3 linked regions of the Callithrix jacchus genome follow. The protein of the gene in region 2 purifies or fractionates together with the protein of the main gene of each other region. This does not show direct contact. Links are inferred from orthologs where the notes say so. Each region holds a gene or a part of one and is shown on either strand. Other genes may lie near its edges. The genes, in order: CEP290, NEURL4 and ZNRD2.

Region 1 (6,185 bases), on a different chromosome or scaffold from region 2:
ATGCTACCAGCAATTGAGAAGGCAATAAAGGTTTCTGAACCACAGTTGATAGGTACAAAAATATGCCTTAGGAAGGCAAAACAATATATAATATATGACAAATAGAAGGATTACTGGAGCTATATAGACATCACATTATAGAGGAGTTTAAACATGAAATTATGTGTTAGAATAATAACAATTGGAACAGAAAAAAAGTAGTGAAAAAAATTACAAAGGGAGATGTTGTATTACTGGATGTAAGACTTAAGACTTGAGGTAAAAGGGAGAATCAAAAATATTTCATGCTATTAAAAATAGAAATTATAATCTTAAGTAAGAAAGTAAGAAAGTTGCCTGGATTACTGCCTCACGTCCGTAATCCCAGCACTTTGGGTTGCTAAGGCAGGAGAATTGCTTGAGCCTAGGAGTTTGAGACTGGCCTGCATAATACGGCGAATAATACAGTGAGACTTTGTCTCTACGAAAAAATTTAAAGTCTTGCTGATCATGGTGGTATGCACCTGTAGTCCCAGCTACTCAGGAGACTGAAGTGGGAAGTTTGCTTGAGCCTAGGAGGCAGAGGTTGCAGTGAGCTGAGATTGTGTCGCTGCACTCCAGCCTGGGTGACAAAGTGAGGCCCTGTCTCAAAAAAAAAAAAAAAAAAAAAGAAAGAAAAATTATGTATTTATTTAACAAATATTTACTGAAAATCGCCATGTGCCCCCCATTGCTGACACTAAGAATCATAATAAATACAATTTTTGTTTTCAGTGCTTACATTCTAGTACAAAGGCATATTGAAATAACCTTTTTTTAATGTTTAGATGAAAGCTCAAGAAGTAGAGCTGGCTTTGGAAGAAGTAGAAAAAGCTGGAGAAGAACAAGCAAAATTTGGTAAGCAACTTGGAAAAAAGTTTATGGTATTAAATAATAAATTCCATGTGTTCATTAAGCTGTAGAAAATCAAATTTATTCTATAAGATGTATATAGTTTATTTTTAATATATAACATTTACTTAATAATAAGCAATTCTAGACTCCTATTTTATGGATCTGCCATATAATTCTTTTTGATACCTTATAGTCATGATGGAGTCTTTTAAAAGAATTAATTTTGTTATTTAAATTTATTTAAAAGTTTGTTTTGTGGTAGCTAATGTATGAAAACATTTGTCTTTTTTTTTAAAAAACAGAAAATCAATTAAAAACTAAAGTAATGAAACTGGAAAATGAACTGGAGGTATGTCTTTTTGTATTTCCTAGAATGTAATTGTCATAAATTTTATTTTGCATTGTTTTCAAATTTTAAAATTATTATTGGCTGGAAAAGTTATAAGGATGATAGTAATCATGGTTATTTGCTTTTTCAGTATATATTCTCGGATTGAGCATACAGTTGTGAATGAAATTAAAACAGTTAACTGCTATATGGAGCTTGCAGTCTTGGGAAATACATAGAAAGCTTACTAGTAACTGAGGTGGAGCGTGGGTGGGGAGTTGGGGAATAATGACCAAAGGGTTTTATAGAAGTAATTTTTTACAAAGCTGAGGGCTAAAGTATGAATGTATTGTTGAGGAACTAAATTCAGATTCCTGAAAAGGTAGGGATGGATCAGCTTTTGAAACGGATCAGCCTTTGAAAGAAGGAATACCCTTTTCCTTGTGTTAGGAGAGAAGGAAGAGTAGATGAGGGGAGGAACAGTAGATGTATGTAGAAGCCTTTATGTTTGTAGGCATAGTGCCTGGAAGTTGAGAGGTCAGTGATGATGTCATCTGTTAGAAAGAGTGGGAGATGGTGTGGTCACATTTTAAGAAAATCAGATAAAATTTGAAATGTAATGGAGAAAAGACTGGAGAGTTGGGGATCTGGAGTCAGACAGATTTGAGTTCTAGTCCTGATTCTTTTATTTGTTAATTCTCTGAACTTGGATGACTTGTTATTTTGATTGTATATCCAGCTCCTGGAAAAATGCCAAGTACTTTCAATAAATACTCATTAAATGAATTATGGAGTTGAATCAATTCTGTGTTAATGTTTAGATAGGCACCTGCTATACAATAGAAGAGTAAGACAGTTTTGAAGATATTGGTAGGAAAGTGGTTGAAGTGGTGATTATGAAGTCTCAACTGAATAGATAAGAAAGTCAAGATTGGGGTTGGGTGGGCAGAAGGGTAGGGATAAGGAGTGAGAAGTCGAGGGATTAGTGTCCTGTGAGGTCAAAGGACAGGCATAGTGGGAATAATTGAAAGAATGTTTCTGATTGGACAAGGATTTGATGTTGGTGTGTCAGTGAGAGATGATAGTGAATTCAAGAAACAAGAAAAAAAAAATAGACTAGAACAAAAGTTATGTGGAAATTGCTTGGGGATTTGATGAACGTCTGTGAGGCACATGCTTAAATTCCCAGTACATTTTGCAGAGTCACTGGGAAGTTGGTGGTTTGCTGCTACCATGAGTAGGTAAAGATGGAGAGCTGGATATCTTGTGAGAAAGCAGCTGAGGTTTTCATAGGATGATGGAGGAATGATAGGAATGATCACGTGAAGTTGCAGGGTAGAGTAAACCTAGAAGTACCAACACCTCCTCCTGACCCTAATGTATATGGGCTGTGAAAGAATGAGCACCTTCCAACTGAAAGAGTTCCAAGGGCATTAGTATCCTAAAGGATCCAAATTGCAGCTAAGGCAAGGAGATGGAAAGGATGATTCAGTAAATAATCTGAGGTTGTGAAATATTTATCTTGGAAGAAGACTTTAGCACAGGGAATGCTTTTTGAAGGAGAGAAAGAGTGTGAAAAATTTGGTTAAGGTAGAGGAAAAACAGAACTATAAGGTGAAGAGATAAATGTGAGACAGGTTAGATGACCAAATGATTTGATGTTCTGGGACATGACCTAAATTAACAAGAATATGAAATAAAATGGATTTAGTTGGCTACAAATCTTAAAGATAAATGAAACCTGAGTTGTTCAGTAAAGTGGCACTAACACTAGCTATTTATATTTCTATTTGTTAAAATTAAAATGAAAAATTTAGTTCTTCAGTTACAGTAGCTACACTTCAAATACCCAAACATAGCTACATGTAACAAGTGGCTACTGAACTGAACAGCAGAGAGAGCATGTCTATTATCCTAGAAAGTCCTGTTGGGCAGCACTGGTCTAAATAGTGCATGATATGAGAGAAAGGGCAGGTTAAGGCACTAAACTTCACTAACAGCGACGGAGTTTCTCATGGTTCGTACACGGGTTCCAGATCTCTGCGGCTTAGGACCTTTGCCTTTAGTCTGCTACCTGTTGGCCAGTGGTTACAACAGAATGATTAACAGTCAATTCTTTGTAGCTCTGGGTGGCTCAGGAGAAGTTTAAAGACTTACTAGCTGTGAACTAACGCTTAGGTAAGTTAAATTAAAAAAAAAAGATTCTTAATATGATTTTAAATATCTGCACTGAAATATAATGAAAATTTAAAGTCAAGATAAGTTGCTTATTGTTGAATCATTTGAACTTCAAAATATAATATAATTTATACTTTGGGTTTATTACTTTGAGATGGCTCAGCGGTCTGCAGGTGGTCGGGATACTCGGTTTTTACGTGATGAAATTCGCCAACTTGAAAAGCAATTAGAACGAAAAGATAGAGAATTGGAGGACATGGAAAAGGAGTTGGAGAAAGAGAAGAAAGTTAATGAGCAAGTAAAGCACTTTTTTTTCCATGAATCTTCACTGTTCAAGTTACCTGGCTTTTTATAATTATTGGTAACAATATCAATTTTTGTATTGTATGTTATATTTGAGGAATGATGTACACTTATAAGATTTTATAACACTGTTCATTTTGTCATCACAAATTTTAAAATATAATGGAACAGGTACTTTTAGTGAATATGACTTGAAGATTAATTCTTTATATTTGGAGGTACATTTTTCTCAGGATATATCACACTTACTACCTAAAATTGATGCTTTTGTCTGGAAGATTAGTGTCAAGAAACTAATAGACTTGCATAAAGAAGTGATCTTAGTATCATAGTTTATTTTGCATAAAAGTTATATTTGTTTATTTCAATGTATTTATATGATTAGTAGATTTGGAAATGAATCTTTTGATGATACATTCAATAATGTTTAATTAAATTTCTTGTTTTTGGTTGTATCCTTATATATGAGATATATATATATTGTTTTTGAAAAGTGTTAATCTCAACATTTTATCAATGATATTTAAAATAACATGTTTAATACATAGTTTTTATTAACTCATGTTATTCCTTGTTGTAAACTAATAATTTTTGCAGTGTTCCCTGGGATTTAGTTTTGGAAAAAAAGTTTTTTGCAGGTAAATTTGTATTTTCTTGAAGAAAATTTCCTATTTTACCTCAGCTTCTTATTTAATGTTTTATTTATTTATTAACATTTCTATTTAACACTTACTTGTTTTTTATTTCACCTCAGCTATTAGTAAACTTAGTAAAATTTGGTGCCTACATGTGGTAACTGTCCTGTCTCTTATACTCAGAAACATTTTTTACCTTTGTGTCCTTTAAGTCATTATTATGTTATATTCTGTTTATTTCATTTTGTTCATTATTCTCTCAGAAATAGAGGGTCATACATTTTAAGAAAACAGTGATATGCTATTTAAGAGAATCAATCTCACTTGAGACCCAGAGTTCAAAACCAGCCTGGCCAACATGGCAAAAACCCCATCTCCACTAAAAATACAAAAAAAATTAGTCGAACCTAGTGGGGAGTGCCTGTAATCCCAGCTAGTTGGGTAGTTGAGGCAGAAGAGTTGCTCGAACCCAGGAGGCAAGAGGTTGCAGTGAGCCGAGATTGCACCACTGCACTCCAGCCTGGGCAACAGAAATGAGACTCTGTCTCAAACAACAATAATAATAAGAGCATCTATCATAAATTGATTTTTAAGGGAAACTATTCCTTACAAATTTCTTACATGTATCTATTTTACTCCAAAATTTTAAAGAACCATATAAAAGCTATCAAAACAACGTGGTAGAGAAAGTATGGATTGATGCCACTTAAATGTTAAGAACAAGTTCTTAGAGCATTGTCTGGTTAGTTAACTCTGCAAAACATAACAGACATGTGGATTTTTTAATAGTTATAAAGGATCTAACTTATGATATTCACTGGTAGAATTGCCTAGGGGAATGCCTGTGGTTTTCTTGACTTTTATTCTTCTCTTTAGGCCTGTATCAGTTGACTTATCATTCATACCACACACTCTTAGCTAATCAGAACTACCTTGTCCATTTATATCTTAGACTATTATCTTTACTCATAGTTTCACACAGAGAAAACTTAAATATATGGCCTGTGTTCCTTTTCGGCTGCTAAGTTCCTTGAGATGAAATACGGATATAGTTGCTTTGGTAATTACTTCTTTGCCCTTAACCAGTCATTGAGTTTTAGTGAGTCTTTACAGCATACCAGAGACTGTGCTAGTTGCTAGTGATATAGTGGGCAACTATGTTCTGCTTCTCAAGGATATTTACAGTCAATAATAAGCATAACATAGTGATAATATGTTACTTAGGAAGATATATCAGGACATATTCTGGGATACTCTGGAGAGGGATGCCATAATCAGTCTTAAGGTTCAGGATGTGATCTGTGAACTGAGACCTGAAGTAGAAGTTAGACTGGTAAGAGGAATGAGAATGTATATGGTGGTTAAAGAAAGAACATTCTGGGTAGAAGGTAACACATTTGCTAAGACCTAGAAGTAAGAGATGTTATGGAGTATTTAGGAAGCTACAGTTATTCATTTTGACTGGAATATAAGTGAAAATAGCTTCCATGGAGTCCTTACTATGTGTCAGGCACTTCATATGAATTAATTCATTTTTGCTTATTTCATACTTATCATATGAAATGTCATTTCTACCATGATACAGATGAAGAAATGGAGACAAAGAAAGGTAATTGCCATGGTTACACAGCTTATAAGTGGTAATGATAGGATTTGAAAACAGTCTTACTCAAGAGTCTGTGCTAAATTGCCTTCCCAGTTTTAATTCTTACGATCCTCTGGAGAAATAAGCAAGGGCCAGTTCCTTGATGAATTTGGTTCTTTTCATAAAAGGAGTCAATGAAGAGTTCTGAGCACAGGATATAGTAAGATCTATACTTTAAAAGTTTACTGTACTTTGTGGAGAGTGGATTGAAAGGGGCCAACAC
Region 2 (6,185 bases):
CTCAGGGCCTCCTGACACCTCTTTATTCTTTTTTTTTTTTTTTTTTTGAGACGGAGTCTTGCTCTGTCACCAGGCTGGAGTGCAGTGGCACAATCTTGGCTCACTGCAATCTCTGCCTCCTGGGTTCAAGCAATTCTTCTGCCTCAGCCTCCTGAGCAGCTGGGACCACAGGTACATGCCACCATGCCCACCTATTTTTTTGTAGTTTTAGTAGAGATGCAGTTTCACCATGTTGGCCAGGATGGTCTCGATCTCTTGACCTCGTGATCCACCCGCCTCGGCCTCCCAAAGTGCTGGGATTGCAGGTGTGAGCCACCATGCCCGGCCTTTATTCTATTTTTTTTTTTTTTGAGGCGGAATTTCGCTCGTTACCCAGGCTGGAGTGCAATGGCGCGATCTCGGCTCACCGCAACCTCCAACTCCTGGGTTCAGGCAATTCTCCTGCCTCAGCCTCCCGAGTAGCTGGGATTACAGGCGTGCGCCACTATGTCCAGCTAATTTTTTGTATTTTTAGTAGAGACGGGTTTCACCATGTTGAAACAGGATGGTCTCGATCTCTTGACCTTGTGATCCACTTGCCTCGGCCTCCCAAAGTGCTGGGATTATAGGCGTGAGCCACCGTGCCTGGCCTTATTCTATTTTTTTTGAGGCAGGGTCTTGCTCTGTCACTCAGAGTGCAGTGGCACAATCATGGCTCACTGCAACCTTGACTTCCTGGACTCCAGTGATCCACCCACTTCAGCCTCCCAAGTAACTGGGACCACAGGTACACACCACCACACCTGCCTAATTTTTATACTTTAGTAGAGATGTGGTTTCATCATGTTTCCCAGCCTGGTCTTAAACTCTTGTGCTGGAGCAATCCACCCACCTTGACCTCCCAAAGTGCCGGGATTATAGGCGTGAGCTACTGTGCCTGGCCCTGACACCTCTTTTCATCATAGCAAGACTCATTTCCAAACCTGGCATGCTCAGCTTATGGTGTCCTGTCCAGGCTCTACGTGCCAGGTATAACCTCCCCATCATTGGCTGCTTGCCACCGTGAGCTGTCCCCTCCCTGGAGCTGTCGGCTACCCCAGCCAGCTGTCTTTGAACAGCCTCTCTAACCTGGAAGCCCTACTCCTCAGGCGCACAGCAGGCAAGCAGAGCCCATCCAGCCCCCACCCTGCCACACACCTGGGGAGTGTAGTGGGAAGGATTTCTCGGTGGCAGTGTTGCTGGTCGCCAGGCTGTTGTCCATGGGGCCGGTGGCATTGGTTATGGAAACTTGGACACATTGGCCATAGAGATCGACTACCGCGTACACCTCTGGGGAGGAGAAGGAAGGTCAGAAGCCTGACAGCCAGGGTGGTTTGGGCTGAGGGCAGCAGGCTGAAAGCCACAGTCACCTTTACCCGGAGGCAGGCCCGAGCATGCAGCGCCTTGGTCCTGGCCATTGATAAAGTAGTGCAGGTCACCCTTGGCAGTTCGCATCATGCCAATGCGCGCACCTGTGCCCAGCGCATCCAGGTCACACCCGTAATTGTTTCGCATTGTATTCCCATCTTGCATGATGGCTGTGCCACTGGGGAGATGGCAGAAGGGTGAGTCAGCCTGCCAGCTTCATCTTCACGTGGGCCCCTGCCCACTCCCTGCCTGTCAGAACCTTCCAGTGCCTGGGGCTGGGGTCTTGATCTGGGCGTAAGGCCCAATCCTATCTCCTTTGTCCCTGGGATCCTCTCAGGGAAAAGCAAGAACTACCTAAGAGAAAGGAGGATTGAGTCTCTGTGGGGCTGAGTAGAGATTCCCAGAATCCAAGGGAGGGGACAGGCAGATCCCCTAGGTCTGCCACTGCCCACAGCCACCATAGGCCTAAACCTTGCTTCCCTGATCCCAGCCAGTTCCACCCAGCCCCAAGCTGGCCCCAAAAGCAGGAAGCCCGACCTCAGCATCCATGTGTCATAGTCAATGTCTGTCATAGTGTTGGGGAATTCCAGGTCTTCAGGGCGAATGGCAGTCACTCCTGGGAAGAGGCAGGGGTAGGTCAAGGCTGCTCCCCCAAGGCACAGGCATCCAGCAGCCCCCCAACACACACACAGATGCCCCTCACCAGCCTCAATGGAGCCTGACCAGCGGTCCACCATCTTCTGAATGACAATTTCAAACAGCTCTCCATCCCGCAGGGCCCTGCCAGGGAGATTGGTGATCAGAGAGGCTCTGCTTGGGTGGCTGAGGCTAGGCAATAGGAAGGTGGGGACATGAACGTCAAGAGACTGACCGATTGGAGATGACGATGGCGTCATTAAACTCGCTGCGGCAGTTGTGGCGGAGGGCAGTGCGGCCCCCATTAGTGATGACTGCATTACTGCCGTGCAGCTGGTGGAAGCGCAGGTCAGAGCCCCCAGCCCCTGAGGACGGGGAGCTTGGAGACACCTGGTTGTTCCCTTCAGGGAGTGGCTCAGGAACTGGAGGCACCTCTGTAAAAGTGGACATCACTCTTAAGTCTCTAGGTGTCTCTAAGACCTCCCAAGGCCACCCTAAGCCCCAGCCCAGCCCGGCCCTCACCCACGTCGTCCACAATGGTGGCCTGGGCCGCCTGGCCATAGAGATCGACGACAGCATAGACGCCCGGAGGCACGTTCCAGGCAGCAGGGCCCTGAGTCATCCCATTGACAAAGAAGTGGAGAGTCCCATCTTCCCGCCGCACCACGCCCACCGTGTCCCCTGCCTTGGAAGAAGGGGGTGCTGGAGTGAGGAGTCAGGCAGAGTTCCTGCCGGGGCTGGTCCTGCGTCAGCCCCACGGTGCCTGTGAAGCCTGCTGCGGCTGCCCGGCAGCGCACCTACTTTCCCACCTTGAGGCGGTCCAGGTTGTGCCCGTATTCATCCAGGATGGTCGTCCCATTGTGCATCACCCCATTCCCAGTCATCATCCAGGTCCCTGGGAGGACAAGGAGCAGTAGGGGACATGAGAGGACACGCAGGGCTCCTCTCCTTTCCATAGTAGCACCTATAGGACTCCCAAGCCGACAGCCCACCTTGCATTTTCTTGGACAACTGGCTTTCCTCCCTGAACAGGACAAGAAAACTCTGCAGCTCCCTGCCCACAGGGCACTCTGTAGCCATTGAATGAGTGGTCACAAGAGTGACAAGTAAAAAAGGGGCTGGAGAACTAGTGCCAGGGCTCTGGGAATAGCTTCCCCCCAAAACCCTATCCTGGCCCTGTCCTTCCTGGGAGCTCACCAGAGCGCAAGTTGGTCATGGTAGAGGGCAACTGGAGGTAGGCAGGGTTGTGGGTGGTGACGCCAATTTCAATGGAGCCAGCCCATTTGTCCACCATCTTGTCGATGCGCACCTGGAACACCTCTCCATCCCGCAGGGCTCGGCTGCTCAGCACCACGCCATGATTGAAGTCATCGGTGGCACTAAGGGCACAGTGAGTGGAGAGTCAGATCCCCAGTACATGCTCTCAGTGTGCCAAGGCTTCAACCGGCAATGCCTGCCAACACTTACTGCCCCAAGCCAAAGAGCTAAACCTCAACCTCCAGGAAGCTCCCCCGCCAGGCTCCCTCTGCCTTCCACTTCCTTGTCCCACCCCTCTCCCATTCAAACCCCTTCTTCAGGCTTCTGCCCACTCCATGGGCCATACTGGGGCCTCAGGGCAGTGCGTCCCTCGTGGGTGATGGCTGCCTTCTGGCCACAGTTGGGGTGGAAGAGCAGGCGCTCGGGTTCCGCCTGGGCAGGAGCAGCTCGGCGGAGAGCACCCTCAGGGGACAGTGCCCGTAGGATGGCGTTGTTCCGGCGGAGACGGTCACTGTGGTTGTTATTGTGGACGATGGTCACCTTCACTGCCATCCCATACAAGTCCACCACACCATATACCACTGGGGGTGTCAAGGGGGTCGCCACTCCTGTGGCAGGAAAGTACAGGGGTGCGGGAGTGGGCAGGGAGAATGAGAGGAGAAAGTCACACACAGGGAGACCAGGCACCAAAGAGAAGCAGGATGATGAGGTAAGGACCCCAATCCCAGCCCCACTGAATGCCCTAGCCCAGAGGCCCTCTCTGAGCAGCCCTTACCCTGATCGATGCCATTGATGAAGAAGTGCAGGGCCGAGTTGGACTTCCTTGTGAGACCAATGTGGTCACCCTCCTACTCAAAGAAGAAAAATAGTTCAGAGGATTCCCAGGGCCTGCCCAGTATCCCACTCCGCATGGGAACAACTCCAGAAAGTATTCACCAGAGTTCAGATCACCCTCAAGGACAGGTCCTGGGCCCTTGTTTTCCAGATATGACAGTTTCTACATTTCCTCAGTGCTCAACATGAGTCAGGCACTGAGTTAAACCACCTCACAGACATCAGCTTCGACAAGTCTCAGCCTATGGAATCAGCCTACTTGGAGGCTCATTTTAGAGACTGCAGTGAATGGAGGAATAACCAAAGAGGGTAAGCTTCTTGCCTTAGTTTGCCACTACAAATGGGCAAACAGGAAGAGGAATTCAACCATCTGACTCCAAAACCTGAGTGCTAAATTCTTGGGCAACTCAGCCTACCTAGAACCTTTAGGTAGACATAGGGACTTGCTCCAGGTCACAGAGAAGAGACCCTGCTTGGTGCCCAGGCAGGGACAGAGTATCTATGGCTCCTCTGGAGAGTGACCCAAGGCTCTGTGCCCACCCTCACCTGCAACTCATCCAGACTGAATTCGCAGTACTCCCGGCGGGTACCCTTGCCATTGGTCAGAATTCCACAGCCACTCATCATGATGGTGCCTAGGTGACGATGGACACTCAGGTTGGGGTATGGGCTTCCTTCCTCTCAGCAACACCAGGCCTGCACCCCCACCCCTGCCCAGGGCTAGTACCTGACTGGAGGTTGGTCATGGTGGCTGGATACTCCAAACTGTTGGGGTTGTGGGTGGTGACACCAATCTCAATGGAGCCTGACCACTTATCAACAAGCTTGTCGATACGGATCTGGCATTGAGGGAAAGAAGGGAAAAGCAGGGAATATAAATGCATAAAGGGACCTTCAGCCCTTGGTTCTTCCCCAGGGCCCACCCTCCTAGCATCAAGGGCCAAGCCCCATCTTTAGCTCCCAGGGACAAGGCGACAACCAGACCACAGGACTTTGCACACCTCAAACATCTCATTGTCCCGAAGTGGGCGGTTGGTCATGACAACCCCATTGTTGAATTCATCCAGGGGCCGCCTGCGCTCAGCTGTTTTATTATTGTTGCTGAGTTTGATGAGGGTCCCACACTTTTCATGAAATAGCAGGGCATCGTTGGAAGTGAGAATGGGAGAGGTGGCAGCACCGCTAGACCCCAGGCCTTCCCCTGCCGGTGGGGAGCTCAGGTTCACATTCAGGAGCCCTCCACTGTAGGCAGACAGGATGGTGTTGCTCACCACCTCGGACAGCTCCATGCTGGCGAAGTCTATAGCAGCAGGATGGAAGAAGAAAGCTGGGATGAGGCTCTATGCCCCCAGGCTTGGTGCCTCTCTCTGTACCCCTTCTTCTGAGGGCCTTCCCTTGTCCACTTCACTTCCCACTCCCCTTCCCTGGGCCTCCCCAAAGCCCTCACCATTATGCGACTCAAGGCTGTTAGGAAACGTCTCCGGCCGGGCCTGCGCTGGGGACACCATGAAGGCTGGGGACCAGGTAGGATGGGAGGGGAATAAGGGTTCAGTCCCTAATTCAGGGCCCACAGCCAGGAGACCCCCCATCTTCTAGCTCCCGCTCTCCCATTCAACAGACTTGGGGATCAGAATGGCCCTGCCCACACCCAGCCTGTCTTGTCACTGTTATTTCCCCCATTCCATCCCCACCCCGCCACCACTGCCCTAGCTCTTTTCTTACCTTCATCAGCAGAGGTCCCCTGTTCAGCCAAGGCAGAGTCTTCAAGGGGGGCCAAGGGCTCGAGGGGAGGTGTGGGGATGGGAGTAGGGGGGCTGAAGCCTGGCTCAGAGGGTAGCACAGTGATCTGGGTGCACTTGCCATAAAGGTCCACGACAGCCCAGACACGAGGGGGCAGGCCTGTGGCAGCCACTCCACAATCCCGCCCATTCACCCAGAGCCGCAGCTCCCCAGCAGCTGTGCGCTCCACGCCCACACGGTCCCCTTCGCCAAGCTGGTCCAGGTCCTGACCATACTCCTCCAACACAGAGCGTCCATCTCTCAGCACAGAGCAGCCTGACACTACCCATGAG
Region 3 (5,608 bases), on a different chromosome or scaffold from region 2:
GTCCTGGATTGATTCGTACAGGCCCCACAGCTGGCACAACAGGGACATGTCCAACTGCCGCAGCCCCACCTGCAGACAACTGAGGGTGGGCTGGAGTTGGGGTCCAGGCCACCCCAGCCCAGCCCCATGCCCTGGAATCCTGGGCCCATCTTCCCAGCACCTTCCTAAACAAAGTTTTTGTGGACGTCAGGCACCACCTGCGAGCTTTGCAACTTTAGGCAAGTCCTGACCGTCTCCTAAAAAAATGGGGTTCTCATGCATTTAGCGGGATGAAATGAAGTAACGTCATCAAGACGTCTGGAAATATAGGGTAACTACTGCCGTAATTGGTAACTATCACTAATTATCGTTCCCATAACCCTTGGAACCCGACCTGTGCCTGCAAGTTCTCTGAGACCCAGGCAGCTTGTCTGGGTGTCTGCGCTCCGCTGGTCCGGCGCCCACCCACTCACCATCTCCTTGCGCAGCGCGGCCAGTGCCGAGTCGAGGTTGACAGGACGACGAGGGCCGGCTGCGGGTCCCGCGTTGGCGGCACCCGCGGCGTGGCGGGGCCCATCCGGGGCGCGGGCGGCGCGGCTCAGTTCGTCGTGGATGCGGCTGCGCTGGCTGTAGATGCGCTCCAGCTCCCGCCACGAGCCCCCGCTCGCGTTAAGGAGGCCGCTGAGGCCGCGCGGCAGCGGTGGGAGCCCGGCCAGGGCGCAACCCGCGCCGCTTGACGCCTCGGCCGAGGGCAGCCCGTTCATGGCCGGGCCGGCGATGCCACCTTCTTCCTTTCAACGCTCTGCCCGGGCGGCCGCCCGCAGGCCCCGCACCCCGCGGTCCCGCCGGAGCCAGCCGCCGCCCGCAGGCCGCGCTTTGTTCCTTCCCAAGCTCCTCAGACTCCGCCTCTGCCCCACCCCCTCCGCATGGGCCGGGCCTCTCTTAAAAAGGCAACAGCTGTGGAACCACTCGCGCAAAGCTGAGAAAAGGCAGCGGGGCACCCACCCAAGGGGAGATGGAAAAGGGAGGCGGAGAGGGGGAAAGGCCAAAAGGGGCAGGCGTGGTTCCTTCGCGGTTCCTTTTGCTGCCTCGTCTCCCTGCCGCGCCCCGATCCCCGCCTCCCCCCCGCCCCCAGTTCTGTCCATTACCCTCCCAAGGAAAATGATCTAACAGTGGAGTCAGGAGACTGGCAAGTCCACACTTGGTGCCTAACGTGCCCCTTGACGCTGGGGTCACCACAAACTCCTGTCGGTCGGTGTCTGAGTACCTGGGGTGGGCATGGCTGGGATAGGCTGATAGGGTCAGAATGCTCAGGGGAAGAGAGGATTCTATCAAGAGGATTGGAACCCAAAATCTCACTTCCAGGTGGGGAATGGGCACCGGATGGCGGAAGAGGTTGCAGAGGTGCTGCCAGAGACAAGGGTAGGGTCCAGCCCTCTGGCTCCTACCTTTGAAGAGGCTATGTCCTCTTCTTGAGAAAAGGGGCATCACATAGTCCTCTGGCTAATCCCTCATCCTGACTGGGGAAACTGAGCAGAAACAAGCTCAATTCATCTCAGGGCGTCAAGAAGAGCAGAGAGTGGAGAGGTGAGAGGCCAAAAGTTGAAAAAAGTGAGTGGAGCTGCGGCTGGCATGCACACTCAGAACCAGGAAAAGAACAAACCACACAGAGGAACAGCTGTTTTTCTAGAGGGTTTTTCTCAGGGGCTACTCTCAGTGCTGCAGCTGCTGCAGGCTGCACAGGGCCTCCGCACACGCCCGGATAAGGCCACACAGCTGGATGCTAGTCTCCAGGGAGGTGCTAGCGCCCAGTTCAGCAGAGGCCCAGGTCAGCTTCTGCAAGAGGGCTGTCTGTGTGCAGGCCATGACATCTGCATTTGGAGGCACAGCAGGAGGGGGTGGTCCCTGGGCTGCCTTGAGCCCTGCTGCAGCTCCCTCACAGTGCTCTGGACGAGGTACTGGGGGCTGGGGTGCAGGTCGAGAGCCCAAGGCGGGCTCTGAGGCTGAGGCCAGCTGGTGCTCCCGAGCTTGGGAGAGGGCAGCCTGGGCATTCAGAGCTAAAAAGAGGAGAAAGTGAGTAGAATGGTCAGGATGCCTGGCCCACCTCAGCCCTGAGTCATCTCCTTTTCTGCTCTGCTCTTTCTGTGCTTGAGGTGTTTTCCCTGTCCCTCTATAAGGCAACTTATCCACTTTCTACTATGTATCACATTTATGCCCTAGCTTCAACTCTCCATCAGTACTGGGTCTGACTGAGCTCAGACTCTCGCGCAGTGGCTGGCACACAGAAGGTGCTTGCTGCTCTTACTGAGTGAATAGTCCTCTTTAAAGCCTAAAAGAGAAAACATTTTACCTCTGCACCACCCAGAGACTCCACTGTCACCTCCCAGGCCTACTGTTCTGCGGCCTCTATCACCACTCATCACGCTTCTCCGCCAATCACACACCTCTCCCGGATTATTTTTTTTACCCTCACCGGGATTATCTTTATCCACGTCTGAGTCGAGTTCTTGACAAGCAACGCAGTAGATTTTCCGCTGTTTGTCTTGGAGGAGGATCGTCTACGGACCAAAAAGCACATGGGGCCGGAATGAGACGCGGCGCTGAGGTCCAGAAGGGAGGGCCGAGGAAGGGCTGAATGGCCTGGCCTGCGCCCCATCCCGTCACTCTCCCGGGTCTCGCCTCACCCCGCAGTCCGCGCACGTCTCGCCCAGCATGCGGTAACCGCGCAGCAGACAGTCTCCCATGAGCCGGGAGATGCGATCTTGCCGCTCTCGTCGCGCCTGCAGCACCTTCGTCTCCGCCTCAGTTGGGGGTTCCCAGGAGAAGTCGTCGACTTCTGGGGAAGAGAGGCATAGAGACTGGGATCTTGCCGCAGGGGGCTGCCTCCCGTAGCCGCAGCCACAAGCCCCTGCCGCCCAAGTCCTCACCAGCGCCGTTCAGGGCCATGTTGCCGTGGCCGCCGCTGGGCTCACCAGAAATGACGTCTAAGCGGAGCGCCCTCCGCTGCGGCTCCGCCCCTTCCACAGCGGCCGCGGATCACGACGGAAATGACGCCTCATCGTGGTCCTCACACCTCGCTGAGTCCGCAGTGGGGCGTGTGGGCCGCTGCGGAGAACCTGCCTGGGGAACGCGTCGTCAGCCGGAATCCAGGGGACTGAAACTTTCGACGCTCGGGGCCTCGGGACGGGCGTCTCTGGTAATTCTGCTCCAAGTCGCAAGATCTGGGAGCCCTTTCCGTCGTGAATGAAGGGGACCACAGGTCCCCGCTGGCCTCCGCCTCCCCTGGGGTTTCCCTTTCGGCACAGGCGGGGCAGCAGCGTCCTCACAACCATCGCCACCCCAGTAATCACAGCGAGCGGCCCTTTGCGCGCGCGTGGAGCTTCCTCAGGCCTCAGTGCTTCTCACTTCGCCTGGCAAACCCGGCCCGGAGGGGAGCATTCTCGCTTTCCGCCTATTTCAAGACCCCTCCCCTTGTGCATGCTCGGTGTCCCAATCTGTCTCCCCGCTGCCTCCCGAGGCCTGGGACTGAAGCAAAGTCCGCCCCGAAGCCGACCTTTCTTTGAAGTTGAAACCCTCAAAAAGCCTGCGGACTGAATAGCGCTGTACCGGTCACGCGCATTCCGGTTACAGCCTCCCTTGAGTGCTGCGTGCTGGGCAGGGTCGGGTGGGGGCTTCTTACATACTCTTTCGACCGTTAGGCTCTTCTTGGGTGAGTTGCAAGTTAAAATTACCAGGGCTCTCTGAACAGGGACCTTGGTGCTTTTCTCTCTCTCCTGTGTTCTTTTTCCACATGCATCCTCTCCCTTATTAGGAGAAGCCAGACAGGGCAGGCAGGGGTCCTCAGATGTGGTCTGCACGGGCTCGAGGTCGTACACCAGGGCAGTGTTAAAGGAGCTGGACTTTCATAATTACATCAGCAATCCCCTCGCGATGGCACAGGCTCCCTCAATCTGACCTGAAGTGCCCTCCTCCTGGCCCCATCTTCCTCCCACGTAGTCCCCCTAGAACTGTCGTTTTTGCTGCCTCCTGCTCACCTAGAGAGCCCTGTGCCCCGTTCACATGTCCATCTACCAGCCAGGCTCCTGGGCAGCTGCGTACCTTAGAGTCTGTACTCCAAGTCGTTTCTGTCTGGCTGACTAGAGCTACCGTTTTTTTGTTGTTGTTGTTGTGTTTTGTTTGTATTTTTTTGCAGTGATGGGGTTTTGCCATGTTGCTTAGGCTGGTCTTCAACTCCTAGACTCAAGCGATCCTCCCACCTCGGCCTCCAGAAGTGCTGGGATTACAGCGGTGAACCACAGCACCCAGGCTTAGGCTGACTAGAGGAACTGTCTCTGAACCACCTCTTGGACTTCAGCCTGCATGCACAGACTCCCAGGTTATTACCATCTTCAGATCCCAGCCCTACTGTGAATTCTTCAGTGCACGAACTATTTTACCATCATGGCGATGTCCACTCAATTGTCTCTGCTGCCTGGCACCTACAAAGACCCTTAGATGAATCCTCCCACTTAATCTCTTCAATTTATTCCTCATGACAACCTTGTATGGGGTATTATCCCCCATGTATTCATTGCCGTGGGACTGTGTCAGGGCGCCCTGCCTTCATCCCAGGAGAGCAGATCTCACTTGGCCCCGGGGAGATGTATTTGGGAGGTGAGATATAAACACTGGGTGAACTGGGGGTGCTGGGGAGGTGGGTGGCATGAATGGCCCCCACTTCCTGGCCTGATCCCCGGATGGGCGAGGAAGAGGGAGGCCGAGGAGTTGGAAACACGGGCAAGGTCCACAGCTCCGTTCCAGCCCTGCTGAGTTTGACATGCTTGTGAGTCATTCCAAGTGGAGGCTCCTAAACTCGGGAGTCTGCAGCTCAGACAGGACGTCTGGCCTGGAGACAGAGGCTTGGGGTTATACAGGGGGCATCTACAACAGCGGGAAAGGGTGGGCTTACTGTGGAGAGAAGAGGGCCCAGGGTGCCCCAGGAAGGTCACCATTCCCAGGTCAGGCAGAGGAGGTGGAGTCATGCCAAAGACCAGAAAGAGCAGCTGGAGGGAGCAGAGAGGAAAACCAGGAGTGTGGTGGGGAAGAGCCAGGAGGAGGGTGTGGCCCTGAGTGTCTAAAGCTGCTGCCACTAGGATGGGGAGATGACAGTCCTTCTTCAGGGTCTGCGGAGGGGACTCAGTGACAGGGAGCAATGAAAGAGTCCCATCCAGTAGTGATGCCTGACTCAAATGATGCCCATCCAAATTCCTTCAGCTCTCAGGGCCTCTGCAGGAAGTAGCTGAAACCACTGGGGCTAGCGACTGAGGGACATCACTCCAGTGCACACTGCTCCATTGGCATAACCGGGGAGGGCTGCCCACGAGCTGTGGCCCACAGCGGAGACTCGAAGCCCCTGGTCCCTTGCAGCCTGCAGGGAGGGCGCTGGGGGAACAAATATCACCCTAATCTCCTGGCTAGAGTGCAGTGGCGCAGTATCAGCTCACTGCAACTTCACCTTCCAGGTTAAAGTGATTCTTGTGCCTCACCCTCCCGAGTAGCTGGGATTGCAGGTGTGCACTGCCACACCTGGCTAATTTTTTTTTAAATTTTTTTATTTTTTTTGTATTTTTAGTAGAGACAGGGTTTCATC

Evidence for each region.
Region 1: the proteins of NEURL4 (region 2) and CEP290 purify together in Homo sapiens (affinity purification with mass spectrometry; 3 studies listed by BioGRID and IntAct, with this or other methods). This does not show direct contact. The link is inferred for Callithrix jacchus from reciprocal best matches to the Homo sapiens genes NEURL4 and CEP290.
Region 3: the proteins of NEURL4 (region 2) and ZNRD2 purify together in Homo sapiens (co-immunoprecipitation; 4 studies listed by BioGRID and IntAct, with this or other methods). This does not show direct contact. The link is inferred for Callithrix jacchus from reciprocal best matches to the Homo sapiens genes NEURL4 and ZNRD2.

What each region holds. Positions count from the first base shown.
Region 1 is NC_133510.1:93,052,224-93,058,408, forward strand, and holds part of CEP290 (centrosomal protein of 290 kDa), read left to right. Parts: intron 1-806; coding exon 807-876; intron 877-1,175; coding exon 1,176-1,222; intron 1,223-3,533; coding exon 3,534-3,677; intron 3,678-6,185. UniProt on the Homo sapiens protein: Involved in early and late steps in cilia formation. Its association with CCP110 is required for inhibition of primary cilia formation by CCP110.
Region 2 is NC_133506.1:73,806,995-73,813,179, forward strand, and holds part of NEURL4 (neuralized-like protein 4), read right to left. Parts: coding exon 5,836-6,185; intron 5,627-5,835; coding exon 5,561-5,626; intron 5,414-5,560; coding exon 5,115-5,413; intron 4,953-5,114; coding exon 4,841-4,952; intron 4,749-4,840; coding exon 4,660-4,748; intron 4,128-4,659; coding exon 4,055-4,127; intron 3,888-4,054; coding exon 3,626-3,887; intron 3,402-3,625; coding exon 3,220-3,401; intron 2,918-3,219; coding exon 2,832-2,917; intron 2,708-2,831; coding exon 2,545-2,707; intron 2,457-2,544; coding exon 2,258-2,456; intron 2,167-2,257; coding exon 2,090-2,166; intron 2,003-2,089; coding exon 1,924-2,002; intron 1,565-1,923; coding exon 1,389-1,564; intron 1,309-1,388; coding exon 1,177-1,308; intron 1-1,176. UniProt on the Homo sapiens protein: Promotes CCP110 ubiquitination and proteasome-dependent degradation. By counteracting accumulation of CP110, maintains normal centriolar homeostasis and preventing formation of ectopic microtubular organizing centers.
Region 3 is NC_133511.1:122,652,412-122,658,019, reverse strand, and holds ZNRD2 (protein ZNRD2), read right to left. Parts: upstream 2,959-5,608; 5' UTR 2,926-2,958; coding exon 2,907-2,925; intron 2,816-2,906; coding exon 2,664-2,815; intron 2,538-2,663; coding exon 2,453-2,537; intron 2,037-2,452; coding exon 1,693-2,036; 3' UTR 1,659-1,692; downstream 1-1,658. Other genes in the region: FAM89B (leucine repeat adapter protein 25), read right to left, coding at 1-69, 453-743. UniProt on the Homo sapiens protein: Might play a role in mitosis. Antigenic molecule. Could be a centromere-associated protein. May induce anti-centromere antibodies.